Lonchura striata: one gene and its partners. Each later gene encodes a partner of the first gene's protein in a complex. Links are inferred from orthologs where the notes say so. Each region holds a gene or a part of one and is shown in the gene's direction. Other genes may lie near its edges. The genes, in order: EDN1, EDNRB and EDNRA.

What was found.
Region 2: the proteins of EDN1 (region 1) and EDNRB are in contact, whole or in part, in a cryo-EM structure (PDB 8XWP), measured with the Homo sapiens proteins. The link is inferred for Lonchura striata from reciprocal best matches to the Homo sapiens genes EDN1 and EDNRB. Residues at the interface, in NP_001403492.1 of Homo sapiens: Cys53, Ser54, Cys55, Ser56, Ser57, Leu58, Glu62, Cys63, Val64, Tyr65, Phe66, Cys67, His68, Leu69, Asp70, Ile71, Ile72, Trp73; in NP_000106.1 of Homo sapiens: Pro88, Pro89, Ile94, Glu95, Ile157, Asn158, Lys161, Glu165, Asp166, Trp167, Val177, Pro178, Gln181, Lys182, Val185, Phe240, Ile243, Met245, Tyr247, Leu252, Ile254, Leu256, Leu257, His258, Pro259, Lys270, Lys273, Leu277, Trp336, Leu339.
Region 3: the proteins of EDN1 (region 1) and EDNRA are in contact, whole or in part, in a cryo-EM structure (PDB 8HCQ), measured with the Homo sapiens proteins. The link is inferred for Lonchura striata from reciprocal best matches to the Homo sapiens genes EDN1 and EDNRA. Residues at the interface, in NP_001403492.1 of Homo sapiens: Cys53, Ser54, Leu58, Asp60, Lys61, Glu62, Cys63, Val64, Tyr65, Phe66, Cys67, His68, Leu69, Asp70, Ile71, Ile72, Trp73; in NP_001948.1 of Homo sapiens: Tyr68, Gln72, Thr73, Lys74, Tyr129, Asp133, Ile136, Asn137, Lys140, Leu141, Gly144, Arg145, Trp146, Gln165, Lys166, Val169, Glu220, Phe224, Val227, Phe229, Tyr231, His236, Lys237, Thr238, Cys239, Met240, Leu241, Asn242, Gln252, Lys255.

Annotation. Positions count from the first base shown.
Region 1 is NC_134603.1:91,207,884-91,217,997, reverse strand, and holds EDN1 (endothelin-1), read left to right. Parts: upstream 1-5,683; 5' UTR 5,684-5,909; coding exon 5,910-5,973; intron 5,974-6,154; coding exon 6,155-6,293; intron 6,294-7,251; coding exon 7,252-7,410; intron 7,411-7,677; coding exon 7,678-7,785; intron 7,786-8,532; coding exon 8,533-8,671; 3' UTR 8,672-9,817; downstream 9,818-10,114. UniProt on the Homo sapiens protein: Endothelins are endothelium-derived vasoconstrictor peptides. Probable ligand for G-protein coupled receptors EDNRA and EDNRB which activates PTK2B, BCAR1, BCAR3 and, GTPases RAP1 and RHOA cascade in glomerular mesangial cells.
Region 2 is NC_134604.1:48,593,409-48,603,507, forward strand, and holds the start of EDNRB (endothelin receptor type B), read left to right. Parts: upstream 1-6,417; 5' UTR 6,418-6,458; intron 6,459-6,686; 5' UTR 6,687-6,725; coding exon 6,726-7,169; intron 7,170-10,099. UniProt on the Homo sapiens protein: Non-specific receptor for endothelin 1, 2, and 3. Mediates its action by association with G proteins that activate a phosphatidylinositol-calcium second messenger system.
Region 3 is NC_134606.1:62,836,760-62,846,177, forward strand, and holds the start of EDNRA (endothelin-1 receptor), read left to right. Parts: upstream 1-5,318; 5' UTR 5,319-5,529; intron 5,530-8,356; 5' UTR 8,357-8,434; coding exon 8,435-8,836; intron 8,837-9,418. UniProt on the Homo sapiens protein: Receptor for endothelin-1. Mediates its action by association with G proteins that activate a phosphatidylinositol-calcium second messenger system. The rank order of binding affinities for ET-A is: ET1 > ET2 >> ET3.

The DNA of each region.
Region 1 (10,114 bases):
ACCTCTTACCATCTTTTCACACTTTTAGAAGACATAGTTCATGCTGTCTGTATTTTGAACTCGAGTTATGGAAAGGAGCTGAAGATATATTTCTTTTTTTCTAAAGAAAACTCAGGAGTCCAAGCATATCTATGAGAATATATCATAGTCTTGTGGAATCAATCCAGCATTTTGTGTCTGACATGGCTGAAGGTGGATGTGTCTGCAAGAGACCAGGCATAAGACAGAGAGATCATTCTTTGGAGTATTTCCCACTCTAAAATTTTCTGGGCCAGAAGTAAGGTCTTTTTCTTTTAACTTCTACTAATGTTGAGAATAACATGAGAATTGGGTCAATTAAAAAAATAAATCCAAATTAAGCACCACCATACAAATTGCTTGTAGCACAAAGGGCTATGGATTTAATTCCTTTGGGGCCTCTGTGTGCAGGATCCTGAGCTACCACAGCAGAAATGATCACCCACCCAAGCCACCCTGACACCTCACATGACACGCCCTTGGCAGTACCAGGCACCTCTGTCACCTTCACACGGCCTGGGTGGGAGGGCTCAGGTCACCTGCCCATATTCCGCCCACAGAGCGGAACCTTTTGCCATGCTCCTGGGATTCTGTTTGCTTGCTGCCCCTGCACAAGCAGATGCAGGGTGAAAGATGGAAACAGGAGGAACTGCTACAGCTTGCTGGGACAGGGGGCAGCCAAGTGCCACCAGTGCCACTGTGCTTCACTTCAGTGGGAAGTGGACACTCTTTCTCCTACAATATCATGGCAGAGATAGACACTGAAGTAAGGGAGAAGTTCCTGTTAACTCTCACCCAAAAGTTATATGGATTCTTTATTCCCAGGCTATTTAAGCCTTTCCCTTTTCCCCCCTGATGTTTCCCTCATTTTAAAGATGACTTTACTTCCAGGGAAATATTTTCCTGTTGTTTACAGTCCTTTGTTGTGGAAAGTATAAGTAGGAGGAAGGTTTCACAACAGGTTTCATCCTCTGAAACCTGAATCTCTGCAAACCATCTTACTTTTTTTTCTGACAATAACAATTTTAGCCCTGGGAGAAACTGTGAACTTTGCTCAGTAAAATTCAGCTTTAAGTGGAGTTTGATTTTTGTATTTTAAATGGTATTTAGTCATTGCCACATGATGTCAGGAAGTGCATGGTCTGGACGTGCTTTCTGATATAGGCTTTCCTCCATCAAGGGTCATATAGCTGCAACTTTCCTCCCTAGCTTAAATGCAATTTTGTATGTGGAGTGAAGTTTGGAAAGAAAATTATCATTGGTGGTATTGGATATGGTCCATTTGGGCCACATATTACTAACATGTAGGGCTGAGGTTGCTGGATCACTGGCTGTCCTTATTCCTCTCCTCATCACTTTAACAAGTCCACAGGTATATTGTGAGACAGGCACCCATGCTAAACCTCACTAACTGGAGATGGGGACAATGAAGAAAGTTGGTTTGCAAGAAAATAGACTTCTGCCTAAGGACTCTCACAGCTGTAAGGAGAATCAAATACATTATAGAGCTGGGTAGTGACAGATAAGGTAATTTTCAAGAGCTCAAATTATCATGGAATCCTAGAATGGTTTGGGTTGGACGAGACCTTTAAGATCATTCATTCCAAGCCCTCTCCCACTAGACCAGTTTGCTCAATCCCCATCCAATCTGGCCTTCAACACTTCCAGAGATGGGCATCCACAGTTTCCCTGAGTAATCTGTTACAGTGCCTTACCACCCACACAGTAAAGAATTTCTTCCTATTCTAAACCCACCCTCTTTTCAGCGTACAGCTATTCCCCTTGTTTAATCTCTATATGCCCTTGTAAAAAGTCCTTCTCCAGCTTTTTGCCCCCCTTGAGATATTGAAGGGCTGTTCTAAGGACTCCCTGAAACCTTCTCTTCTTCAGGCTGAAGAACTCTCTCAGCCTGTCTTCACAGGAGAGGTGCTCCAGCCCTCTGAGCATTTTCATGGCCTCCTCTGTATTTGCTCCAACAAGTCCGTGTCCTTCCTGTGCTAGGGATCCCAGAGCTGGATGCAGCATTCCAGGTGAGGTCTCACCAGAGCAGAGTAGGGGGGCAGAATCACCTCCCTGGACCAGCTGCCCACACTGCTTTTCATGCAGCCCAGAATACAGTTGAATTTAGGGGCTGGAAGCATATGTTGCCAGCTCACATGAAGATTCTTATCCACCAAAACCCCCAGTCATAGAATCACAGAAAGACAGAATATGCTGAGCTGGAAAAGACCCATCAGGATCATTGAGTCCAACTCCTGGCCCTGCACGGGACACACCAAGAATCACACTGTGTGCCTGAAAGCATTGTCCAAATGCTTCTTGAACCCTGTCAGGCTTGGTCCTGTGACCACTTCCCTGGGGAGCCTGTTCCAGTGCCTAACCACCCTCTGGATGAAAAAAATCCCAAGTCCTTCTCCTCAGTGCTGCTCTGAATCCATTAATCTCTCAGCATGTATCTGGGCTTGGGATTGCCATGACCCCTGTACAGGATCTTATGCTTGGCCTGTCTGAACTTCCTGAGGTTTGCATGGACCCACCTCCCAAGCCTGTCCAGGTCCCTTCTGCATGGCATAGCCAACTCTTTGACTTTCATGTTGTGTAAAAAATTTGTGTCTGGTATAAAAAGGGGTACAGGCAGATGGGACAGCCCCTAAGTGGAAAGTAAGGCGAAAGAGGGGCAGTGAGGAAAGTAAGGGGACGAGTTACGCAACTTTCACTTAATTGAGAATAGTGTTTCAAATCTGCAGAAAGCAGCATGTTGCTCCCCTTGTTCCCTAGACAGAAAGGCACAGTTCTACAGTCTCCTTTTATTGTTTTGCTGATAAGCAGGCATTTCTTTCTGACACTAAACAAAATGTCCTTTAGAAAAGTCGTGCCATGGCCTTTTCCAGCTGGAACATTACAACCACAGCCTGGCTGGTCAGCTGAGTTTCTGCTCCTTAACACAATGTCTCAGAGGTGGCTGCCCAAGGTGCTTCAGCTAGAAAGGGACAAAGCCTGATGCAGGAGCAGCCAGCTTCAGCTCCTGTTCCACCCCTTGTCCACATGGGCAGCAGTGCAAATAATGGTGCAAACTTCCCAGCTCTTGGGGCGATCTGGCTTGGTGTGTACTGGGACGACTCATGTAGTACCTGACTTTGTGTTTCCATCCTGCAAACACTGACTGCTACCCAAAGCTTGGTCCTCTTCAGCTGATATTATAAGGCCCCTATTGTGACTCCTATTGTTGGACTCCTCCTTTAAACAGCTTTAAAGTGGGAAAATTTTCCTTTTTTAATTCCCAAAGGGGATTTCTGTGTAGCACAAAGCTGATCCTGGTACCTCCCAGTATCCAAGCAAAGGTCAGGATTACCCCTTCCTGGGGAAACCCACCTCCAGGCCTGGCAATCCCGGCGGCCTGAAATGACCTAGCTGGGCCACTGCTAACAAATGGAACATAAGTTTGTTTTTGCATTACTCAAGCAACGGGAATAGCTTGATTCTGGTTAGTCTCAAGATCTGAAAGTGAAGCTAACAAAAATTGCTGAATCAGAGGAAATGGATCTCTGACAACAATAATATTTATGATTTCTTATTAAAAATTGCTGAAGATGTTTTTGTTAATAAAAGAAAAGTAGAAAAGAACACCATCTTCAGAAGTGCCTGCAATATGTTTGTTCCTTGTTACTCAGAGGAAGCATACATGCTGTTTTTGCCAGCTAACAAAATACTTTCTAACAAGGTATTCTGACAAGGCTGAAAATATCTTACACCAATGTGAGTCATTTTGGCTCCAAGTGCACATCTTAGAAAAAGGAATCTCAGGAAAAAAAATCTAAATAAGCACTGGCATGAAAGATGGTCTTTAAGTGCCAGGCCTGGAAAGGCTATGCATATTTGTATTAAATACAGAACGATTGCTATCTTTCAACCCACACAACTGCTTCATGTTTTTTCCTTTTCCCTTTTTTTTATTTTTTAATTTTTTTTTTTATTTTATTGTTAGTGTCAAGAAAGAAAAAAGAGTCACTAAGTTTCTTCCCTAACTTTTGGACACTGATAAAGTTCATTACTTCAGAGGGCTGTGATTACTTTTTGTATGTAGCTGTGTGACCCCTGCTGGCAGATTCTTATCATGACTGCAGCAATTCAAACACACATGTACGGATACATTGGCGTTCTGGGAAGTCCTGCCCTACATACACAAAGAGACATAATACACAAAACAATATGATCCCTGCTCTGGAAAATAAACTCCCACGCTGGAAAGTTGTGAAAAAAAATTTGTATAACCTAGCTTTCTCCACTCACAGATGTTTTACAGGGCAGTTTTTAGAATACCTTTGATAAATAGATATGACCATCTCAGGATGGGGCCACTGGTGTTTATTCGGCATAATGGTCTAAATGTTCATTATTGCTTGGAAAGCCCCTACACTTCATCCTGTTAGAAGCAGGGAGGTTACACCGAGGAAAGGATTAGTCTCCACTTGCATTCCATTCTTGTACTCCTTCTCATACCATCTGCTAACATCCATTGTGGCAGAGAGGATACCAGCTAAATGGACCTTTATTCTGACTCAGCACGGCTGCAGACAGTCTGTCCGCTATGATACAGGGGCACAGTATAATCTGAGACTTTAAAAAACTGGCCATTCACCTGCCAGACCACAATGGAACTTGCACTTAACAATCCCACTCTTTGTGATATCCAAGGTCATCTCTATTATTACAGCACAGTGCACGGAAATACCACAAATACCAAGAGAGTCTTATCTATTTATCATAGGTGAAACTGGCACGCTTCGCAGCGCGACGGCTCCACGGCGGATCACAGGCATTTTGAGTTCACTTAATTAAGTTTATAGTCAGGGGCTGGCTCCCTCGGTTGGGACCTCAGTGGATTCCATGCATATCTCTATCTGCGATGGCCCTGCTGCAGCCACTCCTCAAGCGTCCAGCTTCCACACTGACTCTGCTCTTTGACAGAAGGCTGAATACACACGAATATGCCAGGAAAAAGACTTTGCCAGAATTAGTGGTGAGAGCCAAAGGCGAAGAGTAGGCACAGATCTTCCCTCCTTCCCTCCCTACCTGGCTTTACACACCTGCTCACACCCAAAACATGCTACGTTTAGCACCTCGCCCTACCACGGCAGAAAAGGGAGATAGGTTATACCCCAATGAGCCACCGCTGCTGCCAAGCTCCTGAGACCCCAGAGCCCACCTGGTAGGGTCTGAGGGGAGCAGGGCAGGGTCCAGCGCAGGCAGGCATCCATCATCCCGCATAAGGGACCCCCGTGTCCCACTGCTGAGTTCTCCCCAAGGCAGGAGCAGCAGGTGGAGCCCAGAGCCTCGAGTCCTGGAGCCCTGGAGCCTTGAATCGGTGAACCTTGAAGCCCCGCAGCCCTGAGTCTTGAACCCCTGAATCTCCGGATCTCGGGATCCCCGAATTCCCGAATCCCGGAGCCCAGAGCCGCCCTCAGGTGCGACGCGCGGGCAGGGCGCCCCCTGGCGGCCCCCTGGCGCCCCTCCCCGCCCCCGGGGCGCCCCCGGCCCCCTCCCGCCGCCGCCGCCCCCCGCTCTTGAAGTTTGCAGGCGATTTCCTTTCCAGCCCCGGCCTTATCTCGGCCCGCACGTTGCCGCGCGGTGACTAATAGGAGAATAACATTGTCTCGGGATAAAATAGCGCCGGGGCTGTTTACCCGCTCCATGGGGGTTCGCTATAAAAGGGCGCCGGGGACCGCCGCGCCAGCCAGACGCGCCGGGGCGCACCGAGCCGCGCCACGCAGGGCACCCGCCACGGCGCTCCGTCCCCACGCCGGGAGACACTTTATCCGCTTTTCTCTCGCCTTTTATTAATTTTTACCCCGTTTCCCCTCACTTCTTCCATCCGCCCTCCGCCGCCTGCTATGGATTATTGCCACATGATCGTCTCGCTGCTCTTCGTGCTCTGCCCGGGGCTGCTGCCGGCAGGTAGGTGCCGGTCCGCTGCCGCTCGCCTTCGCCCGGGGCCGGCCCCGCGGGGGCTGCGGGGTCGCAGCCGGGCTCCGGGGAGGGCTGCCCGAGGGATGCAGCGGGAGGGGATGCGCGGGTGCCTTGCCTTGCCTTGCCTTGCCTTGCCGCGGGTGCTGAGCTCTGCCGCTCCCTCCCGCAGCCCCCGGAGCCGAAGCGGACGCCGCGCCGCCCCCCGCCGCCGCGCACCGCCGCGCCCGGCGCTGCTCCTGCTCCTCGCTGATGGACGAGGAGTGCGTCTACTTCTGCCACCTCGACATCATCTGGATCAACACCCCCGAGTGAGTGGAGTGGAGGGGTTTCAGCAGTTCCCCGGTGCCGGGTTCCCCTTTGGTTAGGAAGAAAGAGAGGGAGGTGTGAAGGCGAAAATTAAGAACCACAACCCCCCTGCAGAGATGGGAAGGGGAGGAAGAAATAGTTGTTTGCACAGTTTCTCCTACTGCTTTACTTTCCTGCTCCTACTTTTCTAACACACTTAGCAACGAGACTGCACCAGAAGAAAGCGAGCAGGATTTGGCCACACAGATCGGGCAGATAGCTCCTAATAGCCCTAGCACACCTGCCTACCTAAAATCTGGGCAGCGGTATTTCCTTTGGGCGCTGCTCAGCAAAGGCTGAAGGATACTTTTCACTATGAATCAGAATCAGACAAAATGCCAAAGGCTTGATTTTGCCAGCCTGCATTTGAGCAGTTTTCTTTCTGACAAGGAATATTTTGACACCGGGTGGCTCTAGCTGCCTTTCACTGCTCTCTGCTGCAAATTAATGCATCCCACGTGTTAATAGGATTATGCACAGTATCCATTTCTGTACTCTCCTCACCAAAAAGTAGTGAGCCAGAGGCTCACCTAAGGCTGCAAACACTTGACTAGTGATTTCTTCTGCTGCTGGGTTTCCTCTGAGAGAATCTGTTCTTCACTTTCACTGCTTCTTTCAGTGTTGGCAGTAGCCAAAGTTCAAAGAGATGAGGTTTTATTGCTTTCTATTGCATAGGGAGGCACAACAGCCTTGTGAAATCACAATTAAAAGGTCATTATCCTTGTCAGTAGCCATGCTAATGAATATGTTGCAGGATCATCAGAGGCATTTGCATGGAAACTGTGACTAATGAGGCATTCCCAATCCCACAGCCTTTACTCGTGCAATCAATGTTGTTGATAAGATTGCCCAAAATACCCCACAGTGTTTTGAAGGCACAGAATTATTTAAATGACTTTCATGTTGTCTCTTTGATCATAGGAAGACTGTTCCATATGGTCTGGGAGGCCCTTCTCGACCCAGAAGATCACTGAAGGACATGGTGCCGGAGATGCTCACTGAACCAAGCAGCAGATGCCAATGTGCCAACCAGAAAGACAAGAAATGTCTGAACTTCTGCCAGGCAGGCAAAGATCTCTGGTGCGTCTCTTGTTGCTACTCTTTAAAAGGCAATGCATGTGAAAGGGATGGATTGTGGTGCACTTACTCATTTTGGCACTTGCTGAGCGAATACTCTCCCCAAAGCCTTGCCTCCTACCCGAGTGCTCATACTTTTATGATCCATACTATGGCTTGGCCCAGAAAGATTGCTTATTACATGCCTTGAGAAGTGGTTGATGAGATGCCTCACCTTGCAGACTGCAGACTTGGCTTTTTTTAACAGCAGAACCTTTTCCCTTTTAACAGGGCTCAGTCCACAGTGGAGAAAACCTCACGGCACCGCATCAAAGCCGGCAATTGCTTTGGACCCAAATGCATAAACCAACAGCTTGTTGACAGCAAGAAAATGAAGCGGTGAGTTTCTTCTCATCCTGTTGTAGTTCCCTAGAGCAGCAATAGAGAGCACAGTTCACCTGCCTTCGGGTCATCCTGAGCTTAGCTGGTGGTTTCAGCTTGAGAGTTATGGAGGAATCAGTGAGGATATTTTGGGGCTTTTCTTCATGCTCTGGGTTTCTAGCTTGTGAGGACACAGGCGCTGAGCTAAGCACCCATCTGTCCTCTGCTTGCATCCAGTGCTCAGCCATATTCCCATGGAAAAGTATGGAATACAGAAGTTTGCCTGTACTAAAGAAGATTCTTTAGTGCTCCTTTCACAAACAGAACAGGACTTATGGGAGCAGGCAACCTGATGATATTGAATGAGACTTAGGGCCTGGAAGTCTTAAATAATTTTTTGAAAGTGGAGCTTGCTTACTTGAAAAATGCACCTATTCATTGGAAGTAGGATCAGGTTTACCTAAAAGAAACAGCACAGATGAAACATAAAAGAAACACTGGAGACCTCCTGACTGGTTACTTAAAGAAGTCTAGGGCATCTATGTTTGAGTGAATATTTTAATTTAATGTTTGTATTGAAATTATGAATACAACATTTCAAGTATCTTAAGTTATCCTAATTCTGAGTTATAGCGAACAGCAGGTTATTAGGATCCCATGGTAGAAATCTAGACTGAGGTTTATTTAAGCAAAAACTAAGTTCTTTCACACTGGAGATGCATCTTCATTATCACAATATTAAATGTACATTTCCTGATTTTTCAGGCTGGAAGCCATTGGTAACAGCATCAAAGCTTCCTTCAGTATCGCAAAACTGAAGGCTGAGCTCCAGAAAGGGCGAAAGCTCAAACACAACAGGGCGAACAAAAGGCAAAGCGTCCGGGAAAGCCTGAAAGCATCCTAGTGGTGAGATCACCTGAATCTTTCTCCACAACGCTTGCTGACAAAGCATCGCGAAAACTCTGTCTTGACTCCAACATTCCATGATGGCAAAGGCCCCCTCTGTCCAAGTGTCTGCACAGTGGAGCAAAGTGCTAAAGAAGTCCTGTATTTGGAGATATACTGACAAAGGATTTTATCATCTTGGAATTCAGGTGGATGGGTAGAAGGGCTGAAGGGAAATCTGCAGTAACATACAAGAAAAGCCATCTGTCTGAAGAAACATTTGAATACTGCTTCTGGAATGTTACCCATCGATTGAGCAGCTTTTGGGGTCTACATCAAAAGCATCTCGCAAGGAAGACCTCACAGATGTGCTTAGCAAGGACAGAAAGCAAGATCTGAGTGTATAAACTTCAAAGAACACTACCTTTTGATTAAAATGCAAAAATGAAAGCCACAGTTCTACTTTAATCAGGACTGACTGCATATATACATGTCTACCTCGCGTACTGTTTGTTGCACTCCTGCTAGAGTATTTTTACACCTTGTTATTGCCTTTACTAATCAGCTGCAACCCTTTGCCTTTTTTCAGAAGTATAGTTTACTTGTACAACCAGAGTTATCTGAATGTGGGTTAGGCACTCTGATTGTTTGCATAGTCAAAGTCCTTTGGCTTTGGATACCAAAGGGACCCTTCAACATAAAATAAAAGTTATCGAGGACACTACTAAGTTTCCCATAACAAGGATATTTGGTCAACTGAAGTTCTAATAATAGAGGTTGTTGTGTCTTACATGCTACCAATAATGCACTGAAGTGGGGATCTACCAGAGGCTGTTGCAAGATTTATTCAGGGCCTTGTTTGGTGGAAATACATTGAGACAAAGGGTTGTTTTGAATTAGAGTCAAAAGGCTAATATTGGGTGAATGTTTATAGCAGTGAATTTGTTCACATTGTTGAATTTGCAGAAAAGTTGAATCTTATGTGCTTATTTTTGTCATGTATTTATATTCACACAAGTTCTTCATTATATTTACCATGTTGAATACACATTGAAGTAGGCCATATTGGTCTATGCATGTTTTATGTATTTCTGTATGAAATTGGAAAATGCTTTATGCCTATCAAGGTAAATATCTTCAGAAATAAATATTTTTAATTACTGTATTGGCTTGTTTTTCCTTAGTCTGTGGCTCTGTGATCACGGTGGTGGTAGATTGCCCCATGTACAAAGGTGAGGTGTGTGCACATGGCTGCTCTTCTGTTAGAAAAACCAGATCACAGGAATCAAAATTTGTGGCAGCTGTGAGACAGCAGATGACACTAGTTCTAGCGGCAAGGTTGCTCATCAAGTCTTCATGGCAAACTCTAAATTGGACAACTGAATTTATCCTGGAGCACTCTTCTCACATGTATGATGTACTAGAGCATTAAAATAAGGGCATTAAGGATGTGGGTATGGAC
Region 2 (10,099 bases), on another chromosome or scaffold:
TGACCTGGAAGCTAAATAGATACAGGTACCCTTCTCTAGCAAAACAGAGAAAGAAGGGTCATAAAGGGGAGGTTGCAACAAAATGGTACCTAAAGGTCAAGGATGGGAGAGAGCTAAAAACAGGTTAGGGAGAACATTTCCCTGGAGAAATCAAAATGTATTTTTGATCAGGAAGTAGCTTTGGAGAGTTCCTCTTGAAACAAGAATACTCCATTTCCTGGAGATAAAAAATAGATTGCTGTTAGGAGCTAAGAAGTCCACTTCTGGGAATGGTGGCTTGATCTAAGAGCAACTATATGACCAGGCTTCTAGAGCATCTACAAAATGTTATTGTAGATCTGTAAACTCAGAAATAAGCAGGATAATGCTCTGTTAAGGGGTGAAAGTGGATTGACTGTACCAAATTCACACTAGTGTCAGCTGGGTACCAGAGTTCTGGTCTCCTCAGTCCAAAACAGATACAGAGTGGCTGGAAAGACAGCAGTAAAGAGACACAAAAATTATGACCTTCACAAGTCTTTTCCAACCTCAACCCTTACGTGAATCTGATGGTAGTGTACGTGGCTACCAAACCTACTCAACTGAAGTACCAAAGACAGCAGGAGAAAATGTCACACGAAACCACAGTGATTTAGAAATCAAAATGGATTTCAGAAAAACAGAGCAAAACAACTCCCATGCACATGGGAGAAAAAAAAGACGACAAACTAAGAGAAAAGTCCATCATGTAGCAACAGAGTGTTCTGTCTTTTATGGGGGACTTTGAGGTTGCAATACCTGTAGGGGTTATGTTAAAGGATTATTTTAATAGTGACCATACACCTAAACAAAAGGACCCTCTTAGGTCTTTCAGCCCAGATTCCCCAGTCTGTTAAAATAATATGATATACTTTTGTAAGGGAAGGAAAGTTTTTGAACCCAGGAAATCTTGGTACGATCAACAAAAAGTCAGATCTTAAGGCTCCTTCCAGAGGCCACCTTCTACAAATAAAACAGCATCTGGAGATAGAATTCCTGTATTACCTTGGCTGACAGCATACAATCTTCTAGCACTAAGTATAGATCTGTGTAAAACAAGATATTAACAATGAGCTTTTGCCATATAAAAGGAGAAGACATTACTCCATTACAACATTTTTAAATGCTAGAAGGTAGATTTTGTTGCAAAATGCACAAGGTAACAATAACACATGCCTGTTTTCAATATATTAAGGGCTGTGTTTGTTAACGTCCTGAGAAGACGTGCATCTCTAGTAAATACAGAATGTCTACATAGAATACAAATCCTTCTGCAACACTTTGGGAAATGTAATTAAAGTAGTCATGTCATCAAACAGCCACATTGATTTGAAAGAGAGTGGTTTCAATTAATTAGATCTGGGCCTCTCAAACACCTCCTGCCAAAAATGTGGTTTCCAGTAGAACCAGCAGTGTTAGGAACTTCCAAAAGAGAATAGCCAGCAGGTTGCTGACCTGCAGAAGTCAGTGCCCTAATGTTCTCTGAATTGAGAGCTGATGACTACAAAGATCTTTCCATGGCCAACACCCAAAACTGAGAAAATGTTCAAGCACTATTTTCATTCTCAATCCAACATTTGTTTAAAATAAAAGTGAGGAGCTTCTTCAAAAGTCTGATCAGTAAGGACCTACTTACACACATGAGATCTTTTTATGTCCTATAAGAGAAAATCTTAGAGTCCAAGGTCATGACATAAATTGTAGAAAGACTTTTCAAGCTCTCTGAGCATTTGAGTAGCTTCCAGTCAACCACATAAACAGTACTTCTACCTCTTTGGTATATGGCATCTAAACATTATCTCTTGCTTATTTCCCTAAGTCTGTCACTCGTCTTAGAAATGGAAGTGTCTTCCTCTCCAATGCAAGCAGAGGATCCCAGGGACTATTTTATTTGTTAGGAATTGCAGCCACGTTACTCCCTGGAAGGAACCCCAGTGCATTTTGGCAAGAACCAGCTTTCATCACCACTTAGGCCTGTCCCTACAGTAATAGATTTGATTTTGTAGCTAGGTGGAACCATCCTGTGCGGAGTCAAGCATGACGTAAACAAGAAGCCTGTGGACGGCCAGCTCTATGGCACATGAAATCTCTCTTTTAATTCACAGCATGGATTTCCTTATTCTGAGGATTCTTAACTGAATTATTTTATTGGTGTGCAGCTTATCAGTACATATTAAAGTGAGAATGTGGTGGCAGATTTTCTCTCTCCAGATGAACACAGTGTTTGTATTACATAGCCACACTTGCAAAAAAAGCATGGATAAATGAATAACAGCAACTCTTGCTGAAGTCAGGCATTTTGTCTGGATATGAATTTAATCCAGATTTGAAAATCTTGCCTGGAGTAATCTTTGTGTGCAACATAAACAATGTATGGCCAGTTATCATCTCCCCTGTATAAATGCATACATACCTTACACAGCAGCTGAAACATGCAGTTTTTTTTGACAACTGATCTTATCTAGGCTTCCTGGGCAATTCTGATTCAAACTTCTGTTACAGCTGGATTTTAAAAGTAAACTTGTTCACCTTTATTCTATTGAAGTATCCTGGGGAAAAAACAAACATGCAAAAAAGGTTTCAATAATTTCCATAAAATTCAGAAATGCAATTCTTTCAAACATGCAGCTACTTCCCCAAACCCATTTCGGTAACTTTTCCCTTAATAGACAATAATTCAGTGTGCTTTATACCTCAGATTAATTACATGTTGCTATATCAGTTTCAGAACTGTAATTTACCTTGTGATTTCTTTTGCTGCCGCTGAATAGGAAGAATGAGGGGAATAAATGTAATAAGTGACATATTGGTTTTAATTTTAGAGTTAGATGTGAAGAAAAATTTCAGTTATCAACCAGTCTGACTCAAAGGCTTGAACTTAATTCCATTTAAAAATTCCCCAAACTCTTATTAAAAAGACTATAAAAAACAAATGCTTTCTTCTCAGTACAAATTTTATTCCCTTTCATTGTTTTGATCTTGCAATGTAATCTACATTAAAACAGGTATCTGTATCCAAACAATGTTTCATTGGTGCTATCTACTGGTAATGTTTTATTGTAACTTTTTATGATAATATTTGTTTCATTATTTCAAGAATTAAGTGTATGTCAATACAGTGCAATTGATGGCCAACACTATTATTTATCAAAGTTGCTTAGCTTTGTAGAAAAAGACAAAGTATAGCTACACATCATACTAAAAAGAATTCCATATTTTTGTGTAAATTTAGACTAAGGAAAAAAAATGAGACAGATAATGTCTAGTACATGAACATATGCAATTACAAATCTGCATTTTTAAAATTATATCTTAATATCTCAATTTCTCAAAGTACTTTTATTCTTTCAAAATTGCCATTGGTAATGTTTCTATAGTAACTTCTGCAACACAGAGGACTATTTTCTGACTTTAATTGAACTCATGCATCTAATGAGTGGCTCACACTGAGACAGCTATTCTTTCTATTCATCCCAGACTTGACCCAGTTAGTGGGCAAATTTCCACCAGACTCAATAAAAAGAAAAGCAGGCCTGATGAGGCAGACTTCTGAGGCTGCTTTAGTTGCTGAACAACATAAACAGAAAGTTAATGGGATTTGCAAAAGTACCTGCAAACTCATAACAAAATTCTCATTGATTCAATAAAGTATTATATGAATTAAAACATCCAATCCTCCAATGTGTCTCATAAGCTTATTAATTGAAGGACTTTTTGATGTCATAATTGTAACCACTTCTTGTGATTTATATTGCATGTAACATAACAGTCTTTAAAGTCTTTCTGTTGTTAAGAATCATCCCAGTGATGATTACAAGTTATCCAGTCTTTTTACTTTGTAAATGGTAGTCCAAATTACAAAAACAAAAAAAGTTTGAACATTATCAGTCATTGATGGAAGTATTGCATCAGACTTATAATTAAAATAGTGACTGGCTAATTCATATAATTGTTAATATCTGGTGTGATGAAATGGAGTGGAAGTGCAGAATACAATAAAATTAGTAACAGGCATTCTGGAGGATCAGATTTTCCTGAACTTTCCATAGGACAAGGAGTATTTCTGCTATCTAGAAAAAAAGAACCAAAAACAGCCAGACACGTTAGCAGCAGCTTACATAATCTTATATAATGTATTACATACAGTTCAGTAAGGAATTTCTTTCATTGCTTAATTAGCAGAGGCCACTTAGAGGGCAAAAGTCTATTATATTTACAGATGTTTTTTCTTGTTGCAATCTAAATTAGCCTTGTTAGTTGATCTTCATTCAAATTACAGTTAATTTGCCAAGATATCTGATATGGTCTTGGTATTTAATACAGTACTATCTTAATCCTCACATAAATATATGCAAATCTGTGTTTTCCTTTAATTTTCATTAATTAAAGCATTTATTCCACAGCATATGCTGGGTTTTATTCCTCAAATATCTGAAAAAAATACTAGAAACATAAAAGGGTGGCAAATTCAGCTAGTTGCAGCCAGAAGCAGCTTAGATGCTTTGTCACATGGACTCATTTTGTGCAACATTAAAGAGTAATGTTCTTCAGGTATCAGCATCTGCCCAAAGTTCTGTATATACTATGTTTGTGTATACTAACATTAAACATTTTAGAAATTAAATTGCTGTTACTAAAACTTCTGGAGCTGGAGTAAGTGACAGCAATGGAGATGCCACTAGTAGCAAACATCTTATGGAGTTGTGATAATAAAAATGTTAGCAAATATATCTCACTGTATTGACAATATATTTCTTGATTGTCTGGAACAGCATAGAAGCTTTTGAGACTTATCTGGAACCTTGCAACTAAAAAAGCATTTTGAGATGAAAGCTAATGCTGTGTTAATTGGCAAGAGTTTCTAAATCAATATTGCATTTAGCAAAACATAGTTCACTTATGGATTGCTGAATTGGAAATTGAGGAAATGCAAACTTGAAAACTGAAAAGACTGTTTAAATCCCCAGGGCTCAGAATATAATATTGAATTCAATGTTCATACTTTTATCTTTGGGCTAGGAATCAACCATGGTGTATAAAAATGAATCATGTTGCACAACACAGTCTTGAAAAGCGTGAACTTGGAAAGATCAACCTTCTAGCTGGAGTGCAATCAGCTTCCAAGTACCCTTGCACAGTTTAGAAGGGACTTTAATGGCTTTATTCCACAAATACTCTAATTTAAAATGGAAAGAAAAATTACTGTGACATAAAAGAGGAAATTGATCAAGAATGATTGAATGGGAAAGCTGTTTAATAGAAAAGTCTTTTAAACAAAGATGGAGGTGTGAATAGTAGCGCAAGGGTATGTTAGCAGGAGATGCTGGAAAATATTAGATAAATCAGATCACCAATTTTTGAAAAAAAGCATGTGGTTTTGAGTGTTTTCCTATATAGGTTTGTCAATAATGTAGGTGAGCATGTTGCTTCTGTAACTAAGCATGTATATATTCAAGATTTAGCATCCAGAATGATTTAAGAAAAAAGAACATCAGGGAGATGTACAGAGAAATACTGAAAAACAGTTTTAAATTCAACTCTAGACATGCAATTGTGTCCACCTTGCAGAGGCTCTTCTTAGTCTCCACAAAATCCTGTACAAATCTCCTTCCTCCTTTCCTTACGTTTCACCGAAGCGTGCAACGACTGGAAAGAGCTCGCTGAGATAGACGCCTTGCTAAGGCTGCCCAAACCGAACTGCAATTTCAGGGCAGTCAAAATGCTATTTCTGATGTAAGAAAGGTTTTGTGAAGCGCTTTAAAACGTGGCAGTAAACTCGTAGACGTTGTCAGGCAGCTTCTTCAGCGTGTGCGCCCCTCGGGCTGTGCAAGGGGGTTTCTGCAGCGGGGAAAATCCCGTACCCAGCTGCTGGGAGTGAGCCTCGGATAGGACAGAGGGGAAGTGCTCTCTTTTTCCCAACTGTCCTCCAGCAATGCCCATAACTCTTGTAACAACCCTCCTGAAAAATTGTTTCAAAGCCCGAAAAGTCTGCTTCTTTAGGCTGCCAAGTCAGCCTGGTACAAGACAAGGGGGAGGTGGCAGGGCATTTCGGCCCGGGGGGAACTCCCGACAGCGGTGATGGGAGGCTCCGCGGGGCCGGCGGGCGGGGGGCTGGGCCGGGCTGCGCTGGGGGCGGAGGACGCGGGTGGGGTCTGGCTGTGACTGATGGGCCAGATGCGGTTGAATGTTTTAGAAAAGGGGGGGCCCTGCGCCGCCGGCACGACTTTGGCCGCGGGGTCGGGTGTGCGGCTGACGGACACCGGGCTCTGCCGCCAGCGCCGGTCCCCGCCGCCTTCCCGAGCGGAGCGCCCATCGCTGGCGAGCGGCGGCAGCCGGGCCCGGGCGGGGACACGCAGCCGGGGCGCGGCGACAGCCAGCGGAGCGCGTTTGCCTTGCCTGGCCGGCGGGCGGCGAGGATCGGCTCGGCTCCGCTCGGCTCGGTGAGCGGGAGACGCGCGGGGCGACGGCGAGCAGGTCCGGCCGTCGGGGCTGCTGGCTACGGCCGCCGCCGCGCAGCTTTCAGCCCCGGCGCTGCTGTGCCGGCCGAGCCGCCCGCAGCGCCAGCACCGCCCGAGGACACGCAGCGCCGCGGCCCGGCCCCGGGGCAGCGAGCGGCGGGCGCGGTGTCCCCGCAGCTGACGCCCTGTCTGTGCTCTCTCTCCGCGCAGGTCGGCGCCGACGGCGGCAATCTGCCGTGCCGCGCAGCCATGCCCGCCCTCCTCCTCCTCCTGCTGCTCCTCAGCTGCCGCGCCGCCGCCGAGGACGACGGCTCCCTGCTCCGGCCGGGCCCGGGCAGGCAGAGCGCGGCCGCCGCGCCCCCGACGGCCGCGACCCCCGCGCTGCGCGGCGCCGAGCACAACGCGTCCCGCCCGGCCGCGCTGCCCCAGGGCGCGGCGCCGGCCGGAGGGCGGCCGCGCTCCGCCTCGCCCCCCATGTGCACGGGGCAGACGGAGATCAAAGAGACTTTCAAGTACATCAACACGGTCGTGTCCTGCCTGGTCTTCGTCCTGGGCATCATCGGCAATTCCACGCTGCTGCGGATCATCTACAAGAACAAGTGCATGAGGAACGGCCCCAACATTCTCATCGCCAGCTTGGCCCTGGGCGACCTGCTCCATATCATTATCGACATCCCCATCAATGTCTACAAGGTGAGGAGGGGCCGAGGATGGATTCGGGAGCGGGCGTGGGGGTGCGGCGGTCACCCTTCGGTGCTCCCTGCCGGTGCCCGCAGATGCCCGTCCCCGCCGCAGGGAGACGCGTCCCTTCCTGCCTGGGAGACACCCGTGAGTTCGCCTCACGACAAAACCCTGCCGGAGGGTGGTATTCTGGTCAGATGTGGCCGCAGATGGCACCCTCTCTATGCCTCATCCCGTCCCTCTCAGTCTTCCAGGCTGGGAATGGGGCAGAATGGAGGTGGCCAAGCTCTGAAAATCACCTGGAAACAGGTGCTGTCGCAGGGATAAATGAAGTAAATGCAATAAATGTTCCGTGGGCTGGTCGAGGAATGGAGGGGAGGCACAGAAAACCCTCTCCTGTGGGTACCACTTGGTCGCTTGTGCTCAGCTGCGGCAGGCTTGGTCATGATACTTTACATGGGTCTGTGCAGTCCCTTTTGGCGTGGGGGCTTTTCTAGGAGGAGCCAAGATCGTTCAGCTAGCGGTTTTATACATCTCTTGGTTGGGAGGCACGATGCTTTCCTGAGCTGTGAACCCTTTCACCCTTTGCCAGTGTTCCAGCCTGGGCAGCGTGAGAGGGAATGAGCCACACCTGCACCCCTCACACCTTCAGTAGTCTGTACTTTGACTTGATAGGACTTGCCATAGAGGGGAGATAACCCTTGTCTTCTCTACCCAGCTTGTGCCATCCATTTGTCCTAAGGAATTAACTGAGCAGTTGAATTTAGGCTCTAGTTGTAATCTAGCACTCTTTGAAGAAATACTGGAAATAATAGAGCTCCTTCTGCTTTCAATGTTTATAGTCCTGATCCTTGAGCACCCATCAGTGACTTCATAAAGTGAACAGAAGAGTCTTCATCTATCATCTCCTTTTCACTTTGTATGCACGATTCTAAACTAGGGTCTGTTACTTGTACTTTTAGAAAGCCATGTTGAAGGGACAGATTTTGAATCTATAATAGTTATCCCAGAAGCTGCTGAGATGAGAGAATATTCTCTATTCTTTTAAAGTATTACAAAGCAGGGAATGTCATCATTGTGTTAAATTCATGATCCAGTTAATTTGGATTACATGATTGTTCTCAGATTTGAAGTTTTAGTGGTTTTTATACTATACGCTCTCTTAATTCTTGTGAGAGGAGTGTACTCTTTTGAATGAAGGTGGAATTTGGAAAACAAAATAACTACTTTAAAAACATGGTTTTGTAAAAAAGTACATTGAACAAAAATATTATTTCCATCTGTTCTCAGAAAAATCAAAAAGATTAAGTAAAAAACAGCTGTATGAGACTTTGTAATGTCAGTGATAATTTCAAAGTTAATGTTAATATGTGATAATATTCCTCAGTTCTTATCTTGATTGAATGTCACCAAGGGTATCATTATGCGTAGGCTGGAGCCTACTCATAGGCTTTTTTCCTTGTAGGATGAATAAAGGGTCAGATTACTAACCAATAAATATTGCACCAGCTGCAAGTCTAGTATTTTTATTGTGTTATTGATAATGCTAGGAGCTATGCAATACTCTCAGGTGCTAAATCTCCCTCACTGCTAATCATCTTACTGAAGAACCCACAATCACTTTATATGATCCCTTATAATAATGAGTGAAATATTTTCTATTTTAAGACAGAATTTTTGAATAAAGGCAAGTTTAAAAAAACAAGGAAAAAACACCTATATTTATTTAATCAAATTTTGAGGGCAGTTTGAGTTGATAACTTTTTATCAACTCTACATCCCATTTCATTCCAGAGCAACAGGGAGAATACATACAGTAATGCAATAAAAAAACTGGCTTTGATCACTCAGCAGTACGAGAAGCAAAGGCTCCCTCAGTAAATCAAGTATACTTAGCAATTGTAACTTGCAGTTTGAAACAATTTAAGACTGCATGAAACAGATCCAGATTCAGAATTTGTTACCACATCATCAGTGAGGCAGCTGCATGAAACAGTGTGAGAGAATTTCGTATGTTAATAAAATGCCAGCACTTGCCCTAGAAAGTGGGAAAGTGTCCGTGAATGCTTTCCAGACAGACCCGTAGGAGACAATTCAAACCCTGCACTAGAAGAAGCTTTTTATTAGGTATTAAAAAGGATAACTGCAAAAGATGTCCCCTGTGACTATTTAAGTGAATATAAGTAGCTGAAAAAGTGCACAAAGGAAAATTGACATCTCCTAAACCAAGGGTATCTAAAGAAAAACAGGTGTTACCTGGATAGGGAGGATAATGCAGTCCAATGCATAGGATGCTAATTAGTCCACTGCATTCCTAATATGTCACACAGTCAGGAAACTGGCTATGAAATAAGGGCTTGAAGAGCATTCAGTTCCAGCATGTAGAACCTGGCAGATATTTTTGGCTTTCTGGGTCCTGGGCCCTGTCTGGGTAAATGGTCTGGCTTTGCCTGGATGTTTGAGCTGCAGAATGGAAAGCAGAGCAAAGTCTGAGACAGTCATTCTGCAGTATGTAATGTTTTGGCAGTGTAGAAACTTTGCAAAATTGCTACTAATTGGATGTGCAGGTGATCCTATGCTGCTCCACTGAACAGAATAAGTCCTTGTTAATTTGAGGCTGCAAACAGCAGTTAAGGAGCAGAAGGATGGAGTAGATGGTCAGTGAGCTTTTTGTGTCCTTCTCTGCACTTAAACTTTGGAAGCCAAGACAGTGGCAGCTTGTGCAGCTGCAGTCCTGGACAGATTATGCTGACTTTCCCAAGTCTAAGGCACCAAAACATCAGGACTTGAAATTCTAAACTTACACTAGCTTTGCCTCTCATAGGCTTAAAAAACCATAATCACATCACATACTAACATGCTTTCTCTTCTGGTACACAAACAACATCTCTCTCTTATTTTGTAATATTTGTTCCTGTATATTTAATCAAATTTATTGTCAT
Region 3 (9,418 bases), on another chromosome or scaffold:
ATTAATCTATCACTCAATAAGTCTGTAAATAGACCTACTTATATGGCTTACAGTAAGATAATATGTGGAACAGTTTATGCTAGCCACTTAATATTGAATAATATAAGAATGGAACTTTACTGAATCAAAGTAAATGTACTAGCAGATTGTTTCGACTCAGCTTTAGTTACACTAACAAAAAATTAGATAATGTAGAAACATTAGAAAGAAGTGAGATGAGTCAGGGTTTTCCATGAAAAACAGCTTCACTGCAGAGTAGCCAATAGAAATAATTTTAACCTTATTTAGATTAAGATAAAATGGCATTCCAATATCTCACTATCTTATCTAGATAATTTTATTAGTGCTTAAAATAATAAAAGATGCATCTGGCAGCAGAACAGCATTCCTCTATCACAGAATTTGTGTTCTGCACAGGCTCACATCTGCAAATGCAGATTGACACTTTTGTAAATTATGGAAGATTTTCTAATCTAAGACATTCTCTTCCTCTTGCTGTTCTTTAAATCAAAATTTAATTTATATCTGGTTTTCCTTCCTTCTGTTTTGTTTTTCTTTTGTGTGCTTTTAATCACTCATTGCACAATTTCACTTATTGCATGATTACATAACAGGCATCTTCTGTGACATTTTGCTATTTTATTCTTCCTCATGTATATATATTTTGCTGCATACTGAGGGGCTCATGTAGAAATATTTTTATCTGTCATCATTGAAGACTGGTGTTTTTGGAGCAGATTCCTTAGCTCCCAGCTAGTTTCAGGGTTGCCTGAAGCAATGGGGATGAAGATCCCCAGATGCTCCCTACAATCACTCATTTTGCTGTCTTGGCCTCAAAAGTGAAGAAGAAAATAATTTCTTAACTTTATAGAACTAATATTTAAAAAGTACAACCTTTATGAAATATTTTAGTTACAATCACCCATTATCCCATTATCCTTTTGGACAGTATCCAACTTGCCACAGGACAATAGCTTACAAGCACTCTTTTTTTTTTTTTGTGTGTGTGTGTGTGTGTGTGTGTGTGTGTGTAGTTCATGCTCAATTTAACACCACCTCAGTTCCCAATACAAACAACATAACTTGAAGAATTTTGAACACCATAATTCCAGAGCTCAAGTCAAAGTACTCTTGACATAATGGAAGTCTCACCTGAATCATAGATTTGCAGACTTTTGAGATTAGAAGAGACCCTTAGAAATCATCTGGCCCATGACCCTGCTCAGAGCCCAGGCACCCAAAATTGTGTCCAGCTGAGGTTTGAATATCTTAAAGGATGGAGATTCTCCAGCATCTCTTGTCTCCCTGTGCCACTGTTTAATGATCCTTAAAGTGAAAGTGGGTTTTCCTGTATTCAAATTTAATTTATTGTATTTCAAGAATGCATTTCTTGTGTCCTTTGCCTCCTCTTCTGTCACTGAGCTACAGGGAGAAGAGTCTGGTTCTCTGTTCTTTACTGCCTGCCAACAAATAGATTGATAAGATCCAGACCTTGAAAATTAGGGTTTCCATCTATGGAAATGAAGACCAAACAGCATTACCTCTCCCAGTACATCTTTTCTGAAATGTTCTTAGTCCATCACATTTAACACAGTAGGTAAATGCTCCCAGGGGAATCTGAAATGCTCAGCGATTGAAGGGAATTAACAACACATATTATTACTTCCCCAATCTGCACACTAAAGGCCCAGGAAGCTCACTTCTTATTCAAACTATTCCATCAAGATTCTGCAAAATTTAGATACACCCAATCCACAGTTCCTGACTAATATTCCCTTTTGGGGTACAGTAACTCCTGCAGTAGTTCCTGTATTAATTGTTTGGATCCATGGTCAATTTTGTCCTTTAAACTTCAATCCTTTATCCCTTTTGATTCTTTTACAGCTTCAGGTTCCCATAGTCCAAGGACAGGAACATTTCAGTGGTTCTAATACAAGCACCTTCCTACTTATAAGAAAAAGCTAATACAATAGTATTCTCACTATAATTCTCTTTGAATTATAAATTCCTATTGTAAATTGCCAACATTTTCTATTGACATGAAGGTAACAAATGAGAGACAGAGAAAGGGGGAAGATGGAAGGAGGAAAGAAGAGGGCAAGAAGGGAGGGGGGAGCAAGACAGCCTTGCCAGAAACAGGATTTATTTGTGCTAAGCCCATAAATAGAGCTACAGATGCGGCATTAGTAAAGATACAATTTAAATAAATTATCTGCTGGGAAACAGAAATGTTATGCAACAGAAGCAAAAAACTGGTTCACTGATCACTGGAATTAATAAGCCCTGAGTTTCAGTGAATTTAGATTTTCTAGAGGGTGCCCTTTTTAACTGAATTCTTCTAAAGCAGCTGCATAGGTGCATCTTTTGTGGAAGAACAGGTAATCTACACAAGATAGAAATATTCTCTATGGTTTGCATGATTCTTCTTTTTGTTCAGTGAGGTGCAACTTCTGATTGAACTGTGGTAATAAAAGTTGAGAAACCTGCACAACAAGTGTTCTTGAAATTAGCATGATTCCATGAGAAAGTTTTTGATTTGCTGAGTTCTTGTTCACTAGATCAAGGTATTAAATTCAAAGTGAAACAGTTATCCAGTATTGTAACCAAAGTATTTAGGTGTATTTTTCCAAATTTTCCAAATGGCTTCTATTTTCAATTGTTTGTATTGTTTCTGATAAAAACTGTATCAGAAACCTAGTGAAAGAATTCAGGATAATTAGATATTTTCAACCTTCGTCATTAATAATTTCTGATTTTCTGAGTATGAGAGATCAAAAACACACCAGTTGACTGCTTATGGAAATGCAATTATAGACAATAAATGCCTGGTTTTGATCTTGGTCTTTTGAATCTCAGCAATTTGATTTAGGACTCCACAACCTGATGATCATATGTTTCTATTTCATACCAAATCTGGGGAGGTAAGTGGCTTAACAGGTAATACATTTGCTTAGAACACCTTTCAATCCAATAAAATGAAAGTCTTTCATTCTAATACCTGCAGGCTTCATTGAAATCAATTGCTTTACAAAAGCTGATATTTGCGAATAGTCTTCTTGACTCCAGCTGCAAATCCAATTGGATTTTTTTCCTAATGAGATTGATACATTGCCCCTACTCTGAATCTCCAGAGTTATGCAGGACAAGATAAGCAGTTTGTTGAAGACACAAAACAGAAGAGGTCAGAGGAAACACTTTCACTGTGCTGAAACTGGTACAGAATCCTCAGTCAAGAGCTCTTCCCCACATAGGCCAGCAGTCCTACAATGATGGTGAAAGTGTCTCTAAAAGATGAAAATATCTTGGCATAAAGAACTGCATTTTATCACTTTTCCCAGTAGCTGGTGTCAGCTGCATTTGCAACTACAGTTTTTGCATAATTTCTGTGTGAAAACTTCCTCTTCCATGTTACTTTCCTGAACCATAAAAGCAAGAATCACTAAATATAATTTTTGAATTTATCTTAGTTTAAGACAGATATAAACTGAGCTTTAGACACCTAGAAGATTAAAGACAGAACAAAGGTTCATTTAAAAAATCATCAACAGTAAAAATAACAAAAAAACATGGATCAGTAATTTCTAATAGCTAATACTATAATGTGGGTTGGCAGTAAAAGAAGCAGTTATAAAGGCTGTCTAGAAATATATCTTTAACAGAATAGTAAATTCGATATTTTCATTATATTTATTTCATGTAATAGTAAATATAGTGATGTAAATAATCATGTTATTATGAATTGGAATAACAAATACGTGTTTGAATGAGATCAGAAATAAACTTTTTGCTTTGTTTTGTTTTGTTTTGCTTTTTTTTCCTTTTTGTTACAGCTCTAATTGTTTAGACATAAAGGTCAAATCCCAGGAAGGGAATTGGGTCTTAACAATGTTTAGAAAAGACACAAGATATTTAAGAGTTGCATCAATAAAGCACTCCATAAAGTTCACATGCTCTTCAATAACAGCCTTTCCAGCTCTTCAATGTTTTTTTTCCAACAACTTACCACGAAGATGATTCTTGACCAAGCAAATCATTAAAACTAAGCATCTATTACCAAATTGTAGAGACTTTTTTCATAGTATATGGATAATTTAGTGGCTTATTAACTTTTATTGAACTTCACAGCAACCTGAGATTTTGAATTAAACTTTCTACCTGATTTGCAAACAGTAGGCTCCTTGTGATTCTCAGCTGAACATGTATGTTCCTTCATAGATCCTGTGCTTTGACACTTCATTTAACTGAGATGACTTTCTAGAAGTAATAAAATACTGCTAATCCAGTCCACCCAGTTGCTGGTTTTTCCTGTTCAAGATTCATCAGATTATTTCAAACATATTACAGAAGCATACTTTTAACTATGCAAAACTGAAAAAGTTAAAAAAAATTCCTACATTATTTAGTGCCAGATATTTTAACTTTTCAGGCCACAAGCATCACATTTTTTATTGTTCTTTCCAGTTTGCTTTTGCAGTTTTAGGACGACATATTTTTACATCTTATTTAGGAAGGTTGCCTTTTTTTATTCAGAAGAAGCCAATATATGTTTAGAAAATAATTTCTGTGGTACAACCAGATGAAAACTTACCAGGAAATGAGAAACCTGAAACGATTCAACAAAGGACTCAAAATTTCACAAACTTGCTAGCATGAAAGAAGGGATTTTGAAACTGTTTCCTGTACAAGCTGCTGCCTCTGATACGCATTTTTTTTCTCACTGTGAGAACATATCATTAGGTATAAGTGAACTTCCCACTTTTTCTGCACAGATTTTTTTGCACCTCTTTCTTGGTAGAAGAACAGTAATAGGAAACATAGGAATGACAGAAAATGCCTCACCCTTATTATCCTTGTAAATGCAACTAAAATATATTAGCAAGACATATCCTGGATGGATCAAAGAAATTTTCACTCAGGAGCCGTTTCTGCTTACGGATCCAGCATTTTTGAAACTCTCTCACACACAATTTTATTGATTGTTTCAGAGACTGATCCCGGCCAGCCCCGGGGCAAATGCATAGCAAAAGAGGTTTATTTAATCAGATTTCCCGTGGAAATCTGATTTTGCTCATGGATCGGTTTTTGCTCATGGATCTTCTGCTGTCTGGTGAGATCGGGCAAAGACCTTGCTGAGAATCCTGCGTGCCACTAGCAGGCAGCTACAGCAGTGGGTCCCGGGGCTGTGGTTCAGCTGAGTGCAGCGCGGCAGCCGTGCTCGGCTTCAGCGAGGGAAGGAAGGAGTTAAGGAGCTCCGTGTTCCCCTGTGCCCGGGAGGCAGCCTTTGTGTCTAACATTGGCGGGGGCTCCGTTCGGGCTGGAGGCTTGTTTTAATTGGGGGAGGGGGCAGTGAAGAGGGGACGCTCCGACCTCTTCAGTCTGTCTCTTTCGTTCACTGATTCTGCGGAGGTGGGGATTTTCAATTCCACCCAGTCAGACGCAGGCAGGAGGATTTGGTAAGACTATCCCAGGAAAAGCCACTCCGAAGGAATTCTCCGAGGCGGCGGCGGCGGCGGCAGCCCCAGCATGAGGGTGAGGCGGGCGGGGAGGCGGCGGGGGGAAATGCGCGGGATGCTGCGGGAGCACATCGCCGTCCCACGCCGGGAACAGCCCGGCCCGGGCCGCGGGCACCTTCCGCGCCGCTGGAAACGCCCCGGACAGCGATTCGGTGCCGGTGGTGCACCTCTGTGTGCGGGTGTGAGCGTGTGAGAGAGAGGAAGGGAGAGACAACAAGAGACGGGCATAAGGCAGCTTGGGGGAACTGTTATTCCATAAAGTTTAACAATGTATGGATCTTGCCGGAGGCTCTCTATATAGGCTGCAGGGCGGGCAGCCCTGGCTTGCCCGTGCATATTGGGATTGATCCTTCGCTGGTGAAGCCAGGATCCTTCTCGCCTCGGAGAAGGAGCAGCGGGCGGCTTCCCCTGGGAACAGCCCAGAGAATCCCCCTTGCCGGCGTTGTTCCCTTCAGCGCCTTCCTGCCCTGCTCCGCTTCATCCGCTCCTGTTCACATCGCAGCTGCCTTACACTCAACAAGCACCGCCAGCGTTTTAGCTGGTCTTTGGAACAATTTCATTTCCACTAGTGCGGTCTCTTGCGAACCTCGGCATGGGAATTTTTCAGGCTTGATACTCCAGGCAAGTCAGGAATTTAGTCCCCTGCATCCGCGGCTGCTTCAGCAGCACTGCAGGAGCACACGCACAGCACGGGCGGGTGGCTCCCACATTAACAGAGCACCTCACACCCTCCAGGTACCCAGGCTGCTTGTGTGAAGGACAATCCTAAATTACCTTATCACAGAAAGTTATCAGGGATGCCAGCGTGTTACTCATACGAGGCAGGCTGTATGTTATATTCTGCAGCAAGATAAATACTGTAAAAATATGCACAAAGGAATGAAGAGCTGTCAGGAATCTATAAAAAAGTACCCTCAGTAGTTAGCCTATTAAAAACTGTCTAGTTTTTCTTATCGGGGAAAAAAAAAAGTTTCTTCCGGGAGAGGGAAGAGATGGTAATTGGAAATTTTGTTGCCAGCTTTGCAATGCTGGCAGCATGACTGCCATGCTGCCACAATGTTTATATGATATATACATCAAATTTTCACAAAAAGGGTCACAAAGTAAGGAGGAAACTAATATAACTACTAAAACATAGGGTTTGTGGGTTCTGTTCATATCTTTATCGCATATACTTGGAAAAGCCATTTAATACTGATACATATTTCCCATTTGTAAATTGAGGAACCGTAGTTATAGAAAACAATACAAGTATTAATCTTTGCCTGAAAATAATTACAGTCAAACATCTCTGTTATTTGTGGTAAGATTTCGAAACCTAAAGTGAACACACTTGCACCATGCTACTGCTAAGTGCTCTGAGATACCATCCTAACCAGCATTTAATTTAATTAAATAAAGAAGGACTTACTATTTAGTATGTTTAACTTTGAAATTAAGTCCATAGGAACTTGTAGTTGGCCATTTCCTGATCTCAAATACACCAGTAAAAGGATTGAAAGGTCTGTGAGGGACAGCACTCTGCATGCCAGACAGGAATAATCAGGTTAGCATTGCTGCTCTACAGATGTACTCACACACTTCCACAGACCACATACAACAGGAGCCTGCAGTACTAGTAAATATTTATACTCTGACTGCTCCAGAAGTACTATCAGTAAATTTTCTCCCTCCTTTTCTGGTAAATGTCTTGCTATAAACTCTGACTTAACAGCTCCACAGGGAATTAAATTAGGATTCATTTATTTAAAAGGATCCTCCCAAATACTTCAGGCGAGTCCCTGGAAATCAGAAAGTTATAAATACTTTATTTTCTACTCTTCCTTTGTCAACACTGCAGCACTTTGTCTTGTTTTGCAGACATAAGCCATGTTAAAAAAAAAAATCTCCATCTTAAATTAAACCAAGACTTCAGGAAAATGGACTTAAATGGCATCCTTAGATTCACTGGAGGTTTGGTATCTACAAACCCTGTGGCAGCAGTTACACACAGGCAGTCACACTTATTAAGGCAAGATTCTATGCTGCTTTCTTCCCTACCTGGAAATGTCATGAGTTGTTGCTTAGAATATTAAATAAATTATCTTTTATCCTTAAAGAGCTTCATTTTTTATTATTAACATCACCGTGCCTAAGTACTCAGCATGAGTTGCAATTATATTCAGGACCAAATGAGAAAGTTTGAAGGTATTTTCTTGGCCAGAGGTCTATCCTAGGACTATAAAATCTTCCTCCTGATAATTAGGGTATTTGGATCTGGTCCAGATTTTGATTTGAAATACATGCCTTTTCAGTTTTCATTTGAAATCCAGGTAATAAGTCAGACAAAAATAATATAAAGTATAATTGTTGCGGTACCTCAAAAAATACTCAGAAAATTGATGAATTTACTACCTTGACTTTTTAATGTAGTGCTTTTACCTTTAATTTCAAAGAAAAAATAAAAAGTTCTTATTTTAGCTAAAATACCATTCAGCAGTCTCCAAGTGAGGTCTACTTTTCCTGCAAGACTATATATTTAAACAGAATTTCATCCACCTTATTTTTTCCATCCTTGTACAAATTCTGTCTCAAGTTAACAGGGTTTTGTGGGGTCTTATTTGCATAAGCTATCACTTACTAAAAGGAATTTTTTGTGTTCATCTCTTGTCAGACAGGTAATGGGGGTAATCTAGATTTCAGAGTAGCACAGTGAGTATAAACAGGTGTTTATACGTGTGTGCTGCAGAGGTTGAACATTCAGATACCTTCCCTAAGTCAAAAACTGGATGTGACAGACTACCTGTTCTACTGATTATGTGGGTTTTTTCTTTTCTTTTTTTGCTTACGGTTTCTCTCCGCAGGTGAAAAAGTGAGAAGTATCTCACTGAAATACTGAAGAAAAAAGCATCTCGCTGAATTTGCTCACTGGGGACTTCAGGATGGAAGCCTTGTGTTTAAGAGTTTCCTTGCTGCTGCTGCTCCCAGGGTTTGTCCTCAGTGACAGCTCTGACAGAGACGTTTCCAATCAGAGCGACTCTGGAAATCCCCTTTCCACCTTCTCAGGGATGGAATCCAGCGTTCTCCTCACCACCATGCAGCCCCCGGTGTCCAACCAAACTGTCAAATGTTCCCAGCAGACTAAAATTGCTGAAACTTTCAAATACATTAACACCGTGGTATCCTGTGCTATTTTCATCATTGGGATGGTTGGGAATGCAACTTTGCTGAGGATCATTTACCAGAACAAGTGCATGAGAAACGGCCCGAACGCACTGATAGCCAGCCTGGCACTGGGAGACCTTATCTACATTGTCATTGACATCCCCATCATCGTGTACAAGGTAGGAGGACATCCATCCCAACTGCAGTTCCTTACAAGTTCCCTGGCTGTTCTCTGTGCTTCCTCTATTTAGTGCTCTTTTGTCAATGAATAGTGCAATTAAGGAAACAATACAACTCCTTTTTGTTCGGCAACAAACCCCTTGCTCTCAGGTCTCACCTCCATCAAGAAAAAGTGTATCTCCCATTAAAGGTGATATAGATCTTAGCTCCTAACCAAAGTGTGGCCTTGGGCATTCCACAGGAGCTCTTCATTTCTCATAGCTGCTACAGCTAGCAAAAGAATTTATGAGGGAAGGCTTTTTAGAAACTGTTCTCCTCCTTGATGAACTAGCATGCTATTTTTATATTATCCAATCCTTACTTCATATTTTTACAGAAAATACTCCCTGTGATATGTGGGCTTCATATTATGATTTTGAAGGCAGAGATTACATCAGTAAAGTTGAGCCTTAATGTTTTCATTTAATATTTATTAATAGCAGAGTCTCAAAATTATTCCATTTATATCACAGATCATTTCTGAAATATTAAATTTCATCTGGATTGGTCAAAGTGTAAAAAGGCTCCTCAGCAATTCTTTT